2 linked regions of the Drosophila melanogaster genome follow. The gene in region 1 interacts genetically with each later gene. Each region holds a gene or a part of one and is shown on either strand. Other genes may lie near its edges.

Region 1 (3,947 bases):
TCGGGGCGTCAGAAAGGGCCAGTTGAGATCTTCTCCCGGCTTCACCAGCTCAAAATACCTCAGAAGACTGGGTCTCTCCATGGTCGAACAGATTTTGTATAGACGCTGCAACTTTTCCTCGAAGCTGTGCTTCTCGAACACCTCGTTCTCAATTCCGTCGAAGAGGAGTTGGAACTGATCGCTCACCGTCGCAAATGCATGCCACTTGAGATTCTTTTGGGAGGAGTTGTAGAAATTGTGACATGGTTCGACTTTTTCATCCATGTCGTCTAGCATTCGCTTCATGATCTCGAGATTGGGATTTGCAGAACATACTGTACTGCACAGAAGAAGAAGCAGCCAGCTTAGGCTGAGGTACGATCTGGATTCCATCATCTTAACTCATCAACTGATGCGGCATTTGGAAGTAATCAGCAATGACTTCTAAGAAACCTGATGAAATTATACGAAATTTTAAATCTGTTGTTTTGGCGAATTGCGGTGTGACCCTAAATCGTTTTGTACCATATGCTTAATTATGCTTTTTCGTGTCACGACGCACTTTTTTTTTTCCAAACTCACCAATCATTTTATACTTGAATTATGAAAACTATAAACAAAACTCCCAGTTGTTGTAACGAAATAAAAAACGAAATTCACTTTGTGTAAAACTCTGCTCTGAACAAAAGCCTTTTTTTTTATCAGTTAATACGTTTAGCTTAGCGATTTGTGGGTATGAAGGGAAATTGGTTTGAGGAGAGCAAATGCATAAATTCACTTAAAGACTATGGTGTCCAGCATGGCGCCCAGGCACTGCACAATATTGTTCTGCATAACCTTGTCCACCTTCTCCTCCAAATGCCGCTTGGGGTCCTGCTTGCCCACGTTCTTGATCGCCAGCTGCTCGGGCGTCATTTTCTCCTCGTCCTCCAGTGACTGCAAGAAAATGAGGGAAATCAATGAAAATCCAAAAAAATTCTAGTTTTTCATTAAATTGGCTAACCAACCAATAAATTAATATCTAATGAGATGATGAATCACCCACCTTGTTGTAGTTCTTGGCGAGATCCAGCATCTCGGCCACGGTGTCCTCGTTGATGGAACAGTGCTCATTGTAGTCGGACAACGTGAGGCCGTCCTTCCACGACTTTTTGTGCAGATTGAGAAGCATCTTCTGCTCCAGTTCGTTCTTGCGGTAGTTTATGCTAATCGAGTAGTAGTGGCGATTGAGCCCGTGGATCAGGGCCTGTACGGAGGGCTTTTGCAGATGACCCAAATTGGAGGTTGTCTGCCGGGGCTCCTGTCCCAGCACAAGCATGTTGGGATTGATCAGGCGGAAGGCATCGATGACCACTTTGCCCTTGACAGACTGAATGGGATCGACGACGACGGCTACGGCTCGCTCCGACAGCGCCTCGAAGGATTGCTGCGTATTGATGTCCACGCCGGACAGCCAGCAGCCGAAACCGGGATGCGAGTGATACCAGCCGACGACCATTTCGGGTCGACCCGTCTGCTTCAGCATGTCCAACATCTTCGCCTGAAAGACGGGATCCACGGCCTCTACGGATACTCCAGTACCCGTTTGCGGCATGGCGAACACATCGATGACCTGCACCGTGTAGTCGTCCACGAATTCGCCCAACATCAGACCCATCACCTCCATGGGCACGCCGGCCCGTCCGTGCTTAAGCATCTTGAGCAGGGCCAAGGACGAGATGTACACCTGCTCGGCGGTGTCTACGACGGGCGCATCTGTGGGCGGGGCGGCCTGTGGCATAGCACCTCCAAGACGTAGCAGACGATCCATTTTATGCGGCTACCCGGGCACAAGGATACGAATCGGGGTTAGAAACAATCGAAAAGCGCTGACTAAGCCAAGTGCTCACCTCTGGGATTTGTAGACACTCTGTGATCGGGGGCAAGTATCAACTATTTCCTACTGTTTTACGTGTAATTTACGTTCCTCGTCGAAAGCAGCAACAAAAAACACAAAGCCGTCTCGTTTGATTTTGCAGAATTGCAAGTAATACTCGCAACAGGGTTGTATCGCTCATCGCCTATCGAAAAGCTATCGGCGGGAGGAGATGACGATTTGCCTAAATTTTAGCTTGATTATAGCAAAGCTATAAAAATATTTCAATTACGTTCAATGTGTAATCAAAGCTAAGCTTTAGTTGTTGTTATGTAAATAATATGAGAATACGTAACTATAGTAGGGAATAATGAAATTAACTAGTTGTTGTCAAGGATGTATTGGAAAGGCTACTTCTACCAAAGTTATTTCATATAAAAATAAAATTAACCTAATTATAAAGAGTCCGCTGTAATATTTTATTCTATATTCTTCAGATTATTTGTAGTAGTCAATTTGTTTGTGGAATATTTTAGCATATATTTAAGTCTGCTATTTGCCAGCACTGATCAACACTGTCTTTATATCGATACATAAAACTATCGATAATGGGAATTGGCGCCAAGCTCGAAATTTTTAAGCGGATAAAACTTAAAAAGCAAACTCAAAGGACTTGAAAGTACTGGAAAGAGTGTATTCCGATGTTATATTTGGTACAACAATAGAATGAGTGTGTAGTGTGGTCGAAAGTGAAGTGAGCTGAGGAAAACTAAGACTTTCCGCAAGACCGAACACCACAAAATTTATAATGCACCATCCATCCGCCCGTCAAATGCCATGGGAAATGAGGTCTTCGCCGGCAAAACCGAAACAATTTGAGCAAGTACAATGCAGAGCCGCCTTTTGTTTTTATTGTGCCAATTAATTGCACCAAAAACCTTTTGCCTTTTGGATGCGGCGCCTTCTTTATGCCTTTCACCTCGCTCTTGGCGATGGGGATTCCGATTAAGAGATTCCCAGACCGCCAGACGCTCGAAAATTCGCTTAAAATGCCATCAAAAGGTGGGACGACGCCACACACCGGCTACAAAATCCAAAGCCCAAAATCCATCCGATTGCAACACACGGACTACTCCATTTTCCGTCTCGCTTTGGTAATTGAACAATAGGTTTTCCATCTGCCAGCAGACTTTTCCATTCGCCGCTCGGCTTTTCAGCTTCAGTTGCATTTTGTCGCTCGCCTCCAGCACGCGCACTCCACACAATTGTTGTTAAAGTTTAATAGTTTTATACTTTTCGCTTGGTTAAACGTTGTGCTCAAGATATTTGCAATTATTCGCATACAAATTGCGAGCAAATAGTGCACTCATTTGCCGCAAGCGTAGCCAAACTCAGGTAATTAAATACAAATTGTGAATACTTCTAGCTGAAAGGTGGCGAATTTCAGCTGAGACCGACATATTTGTGTCGATTTTGTATTTCGCTGTTGACTTGCCCTCTTATCACCCAACGAAACACAGCCACAAAATTGTTATTGTTGATAAGTGAGAGACTCGAACTTAGAGAGCTTTTTTTTTACAGGGGGTGTGTGTGTTCTATTAGTACACAAAAAATAAAATTCGGTAATAATGTGTGTGCTTAAATCGAGTAAATCAAACGAGTAGTAATTCCAAATGATTACTTTAAACTAATGTATCTTTGAGTTCTTACTCTCACATATAAAGTAAGTATTATTATTCTAGTGGCTAGTGAACTCAGCAAATTTTTCGCTCTGTGTACTTTTAATTACTTAAACAGCTGCTTGGTATTTGCTTAGGCCGAAAACAAAAGAAACGTGCTCCATTTCGCCATTGATTAAATAGTTTCACATCTGACTTGGGCATCTTAAACGCTATCCATTGACCTTGTCAACGCTTAAATCAATCCCGTTCGAAGAAATGACGTGAATGCACTCAATCTGGTTACAAAAACGTGGCAAATAAGCACATAGCCGATATTAAAGGGGGGGGGGGGAACAAAGTGGAGAAAAACACGTTTGTTCAGCTGTGAAATTGACCTTTTATGGCCTAACTCAACCCAAAACCGCCCAAAACTGAACATTTTGTTGGAGCCG
Region 2 (3,755 bases), on another chromosome or scaffold:
ACGATGGTCGCATCGATCGGTCCAAGCTGGGACCCTTGGTGTTTGCCGATCCCAAGCAGTTGCAAGCACTCAACGGCATTGTCTGGCCGGAACTTATTGCGGAGGTTAACAGGCGGCTGGATGCACTGCGTTCCCAGGCGGACGTGCCGCGTGTGGTGGTCCTGGAGGCAGCGGTGCTGCTGCGAGCGGGCTGGGAGACCAATTGCCATGAGGTGTGGTCCATGATTGTGCCACCGGATGAGGCTGTGCGGCGGATTATTGAGCGCAACAAGTTGAGCGAAGTGGAGGCCCAAAAGCGACTGGCCAGTCAGGTGCCCAATTCTGAGATCGTGGCCAAGTCGCATGTGATATTCAGTTCGCAATGGGATCACGAATTCACCCAGAAACAGGCGGAGCGTGCGTGGAAAATGCTTACCAAGGAACTGGACTCTTACCAGAGCAGCCTTTAACCCGATGGATATTTAGATTATCTTGTTGATCCTTATTTTGTATGATTTTTTATGCATTTGTTGTATATTGTTTAGTTGTAAGTCCAAAGTTGAAAAGAAATGCTGGGACGTCATTGGGGAAAAACGCTGAAAATTTCAATGGAACCTTAGTGGCTCTCGCCCTTCTTGCCAGCCACTCGCTTGAAGTCGTTCATCTTGGTGGTCATGATGGGGGAACCGATGAAGCCGATATAATCAATCTGCGTCACATCGCCACCTGACTGATTGTTCTTCACGAAGATTTGGATGTTTTGCACATTCTGGAACTTGACGTAGCGCAGATTCACGGGCACTCCACTCTCCAGCTCCTTCTGAGCCAGGCTGCAAAATGGATTGAACAGTGAGAAGAGCTAAGCAGCCATAGAGAAGGCAATAGCTACCTTAGATCCTGCACACTGTTCATGGACTCGGCCATGTCAAAGTCAATCGTGCGGGGCTGGTTAATGAACAGCTTCACATCCTTGGGACCCAGGTGCGAAGGTGCCTTGAACTTCAAAGAGTGGATCTTCACAGCCTGATTAAAGGTGATGGACAGGATGAGCTGCTCATCGCAATCGGACTGCAGGTAGCCACCGGCGGAGGCCAGGGCGTGCTTTAAGTTGTGGTCATCAGCTTCGTTGAGGCACTCGCACTCCTGCTTCGAAATAAATGTATTCAGTTCCATCTGTAAGAAGGATTAGGGATTATTTTTGGAACATTTCCAAATACTGCACTATATTACCAATCCCTGCCCGTAATCCTCGCCCCCCTCCTCGCCACCGGATGTACCGATGTGCTCCTGGATCTTGGCCTCGAGCCCATTGACGTCCGCACCCTGGACGCGATCGATCTTGGTCCTGTTCCTGTAGAAGATGAATGTTGGCATGGCCGAAACGCCCTGTCCAGCAGCCGTGTCCTGGCACTTGTCCACATCCACTTTCAGGAAGATGGCCTTTGGGTACTTTGTTGGAAACGTCTCGAAGATGGGCGCAATCCGCTTGCAGGGACCACACCACGAAGCTGTGAAGTCCACCACAACCAATTGAATGCCCGCTTGGGCCAACTCCGCCTGGAAGTGGGACTCGTCGTTGATCACGCGCACGGACATGGTGATAGGATTAGGTTTCTATTAATTGAGCTTTTGTTTCGGCAGCCGAATTGGATTTAAGCAAGTAAATGTTATTATTAACGTTCAATGCAAATTTTTTTTGTTAAAGATGACTTGTAATATGCATTTAGTCCAAATTCGTGCTAAGAAAAATACCGAATGCGGTATTCCACAAGCGGTCACACTGTGATGGTATCGATATTTCGAGCTCTTTGACTTCCTATTTTTAGAGGGACCATTTATGTGTAATAGAAAAAAACCGAAACTTAATATTTAAACTTTTATTGAAATATTAGTGGATTACAATATGTAAAACTATGAAATATTCTCATTTGATATAGCTCAAAGTGTTATTTAAAATTCATTCAGTGTTTACGACTAGCAATCTACGCTTTCACGCTCATCTTAAGCTTACCGCCCATTTGCCAGGGTTGTCAAGGCGAATGAGCGGTCCCACCATACACGCCACTGGAACTTTCGATACCTGCGCTGCGCCTGGCCACACGTTCATTACCTCGTGGTGTTTCAGTCGGTCGCATTTTCATTAAGTCGCCATTTTAAAATTATTAGAGTCAAGTACAATGGCAGATGTGGAAAAGGAGCCCGAGAAGACCATCGCCGAGGATTTGGTGGTGACCAAGTATAAGTTGGCCGGCGAAATCGTCAACAGTGAGTATTCCTTGGCCGGAAACAGCGAACGCTGGCCGATTCCTGGAGTCGCTGCTACGTGGCGCTTACACAATGCACCGAATGCCGCTTTCCCTTGTGCGCCACGCGTTGGTTAATCTGCCTATTTCTGGACTCTGTCTGCTCGTTTAATTTTAGAAACCCTCAAGGCGGTAATTGGACTCTGCGTGGTTGATGCCTCCGTCCGGGAGATCTGCACCCAGGGCGACAATCAGCTCACCGAGGAGACCGGCAAAGTAAGTGGTGGCCACCTGGCGGTCATTCGCGCCAATTTCATGTCCAATGATTAAGACTTACACCTTTGAGGGTTTCCCGATGGCGAGCCATGTGCTGTGCGGGCTGGGGATCACCTCGTGGTCGCCAGGCGCACGCGGGGACTCCAATGCTCCACGTGCCCGGCTTGTGTGCTCTCCAAAAGGTCCCGAGGATTTACAGATTATGAGATCTGAGGACACACCGCGCACTATCATTGATATATAGTACAACGAACAAGCAATCTAATGCTTTTATCGATCTTTCACAAACAGGTATACAAAAAGGAGAAAGACCTGAAGAAGGGCATTGCCTTTCCCACCTGTCTGTCCGTCAACAACTGTGTCTGCCACTTCTCGCCAGCCAAAAACGATGCTGACTACACGTTAAAGGCCGGTGATGTGGTCAAAATGTAAGTTGAACCTCCTATTCCACATATACCGCCACTAAATACGTAACATTTCTTTTCTACAGCGATCTGGGTGCCCACATTGATGGTTTCATTGCCGTGGCCGCTCACACAATTGTGGTAGGCGCTGCTGCGGATCAGAAGATCAGTGGTCGCCAGGCCGATGTCATCCTCGCCGCCTACTGGGCTGTCCAGGCTGCCTTACGTCTGCTCAAGTCCGGCGCCAATGTGAGTCCTCCCTTACTTCTAGGTAATCCTCCGTTAATCCCTGCAAGAAACGGATTGTCTGCCGCGATTCTCCAGCGACTGAACATCTCAACACTTGCAAAGATCAGCTGTGGCAGCTGGTAATTGCCCTGGCCTATTATTCAGGACTGGAGGCTTCTTGTCAGTTGTCCACAAGGTTATTTCTTCTGCAGGCAACGGATTGACTGCGCTCAAACTCTGACACAGATCAGCTCAACACCTGCGGATAGAAACTGTGTCAATTTCGTGAACTGAACAAGTTCATTCCATAGAAGTGTTCGGTCTTTAAATTTGTCCACATCTCCAGTTTATAGATATGTCGGAATTGTAATCTGCAGGCAACGGATTGTCTGCTGCCTTAACTCGTGGCTCAGCACAGCTCAACGTCTGCAGAGATCAACAGTGTCGATTTCGTGAACTGAACAAGTTTAGATACTTGAAATGTTCGGTCTTTAAAGTTGTCCACAATCGCAATGATAATGCCGATCAGTTATTGTTATTTTGCGTTATCTATAGTATACTATGATATTTGATTAAGATTAGTCAAAGGGAATTGGAATGTTTTCTTTATCTCTGCTTTGAACTA

The links.
Region 2: of Rpn11 (region 1) and Txl, changing one suppresses a phenotype caused by changing the other (phenotypic suppression), as found in Drosophila melanogaster (one study listed by BioGRID).

Annotation. Positions count from the first base shown.
Region 1 is NT_033779.5:5,057,762-5,061,708, forward strand, and holds Rpn11 (regulatory particle non-ATPase 11), read right to left. Parts: upstream 2,030-3,947; 5' UTR 1,869-2,029; intron 1,799-1,868; 5' UTR 1,790-1,798; coding exon 1,025-1,789; intron 916-1,024; coding exon 754-915; 3' UTR 643-753; downstream 1-642. Other genes in the region: Nepl3 (Neprilysin-like 3), read right to left, coding at 1-375. UniProt on the Drosophila melanogaster protein: Metalloprotease component of the 26S proteasome that specifically cleaves 'Lys-63'-linked polyubiquitin chains. The 26S proteasome is involved in the ATP-dependent degradation of ubiquitinated proteins.
Region 2 is NT_037436.4:5,763,830-5,767,584, reverse strand, and holds Txl (Thioredoxin-like), read right to left. Parts: upstream 1,740-3,755; 5' UTR 1,576-1,739; coding exon 1,210-1,575; intron 1,153-1,209; coding exon 869-1,152; intron 810-868; coding exon 596-809; 3' UTR 501-595; downstream 1-500. Other genes in the region: Ppat-Dpck (bifunctional phosphopantetheine adenylyltransferase - Dephospho-CoA kinase), read left to right, coding at 1-449; CG10576 (uncharacterized protein), read left to right, coding at 2,157-2,244, 2,401-2,498, 2,790-2,926, 2,989-3,151.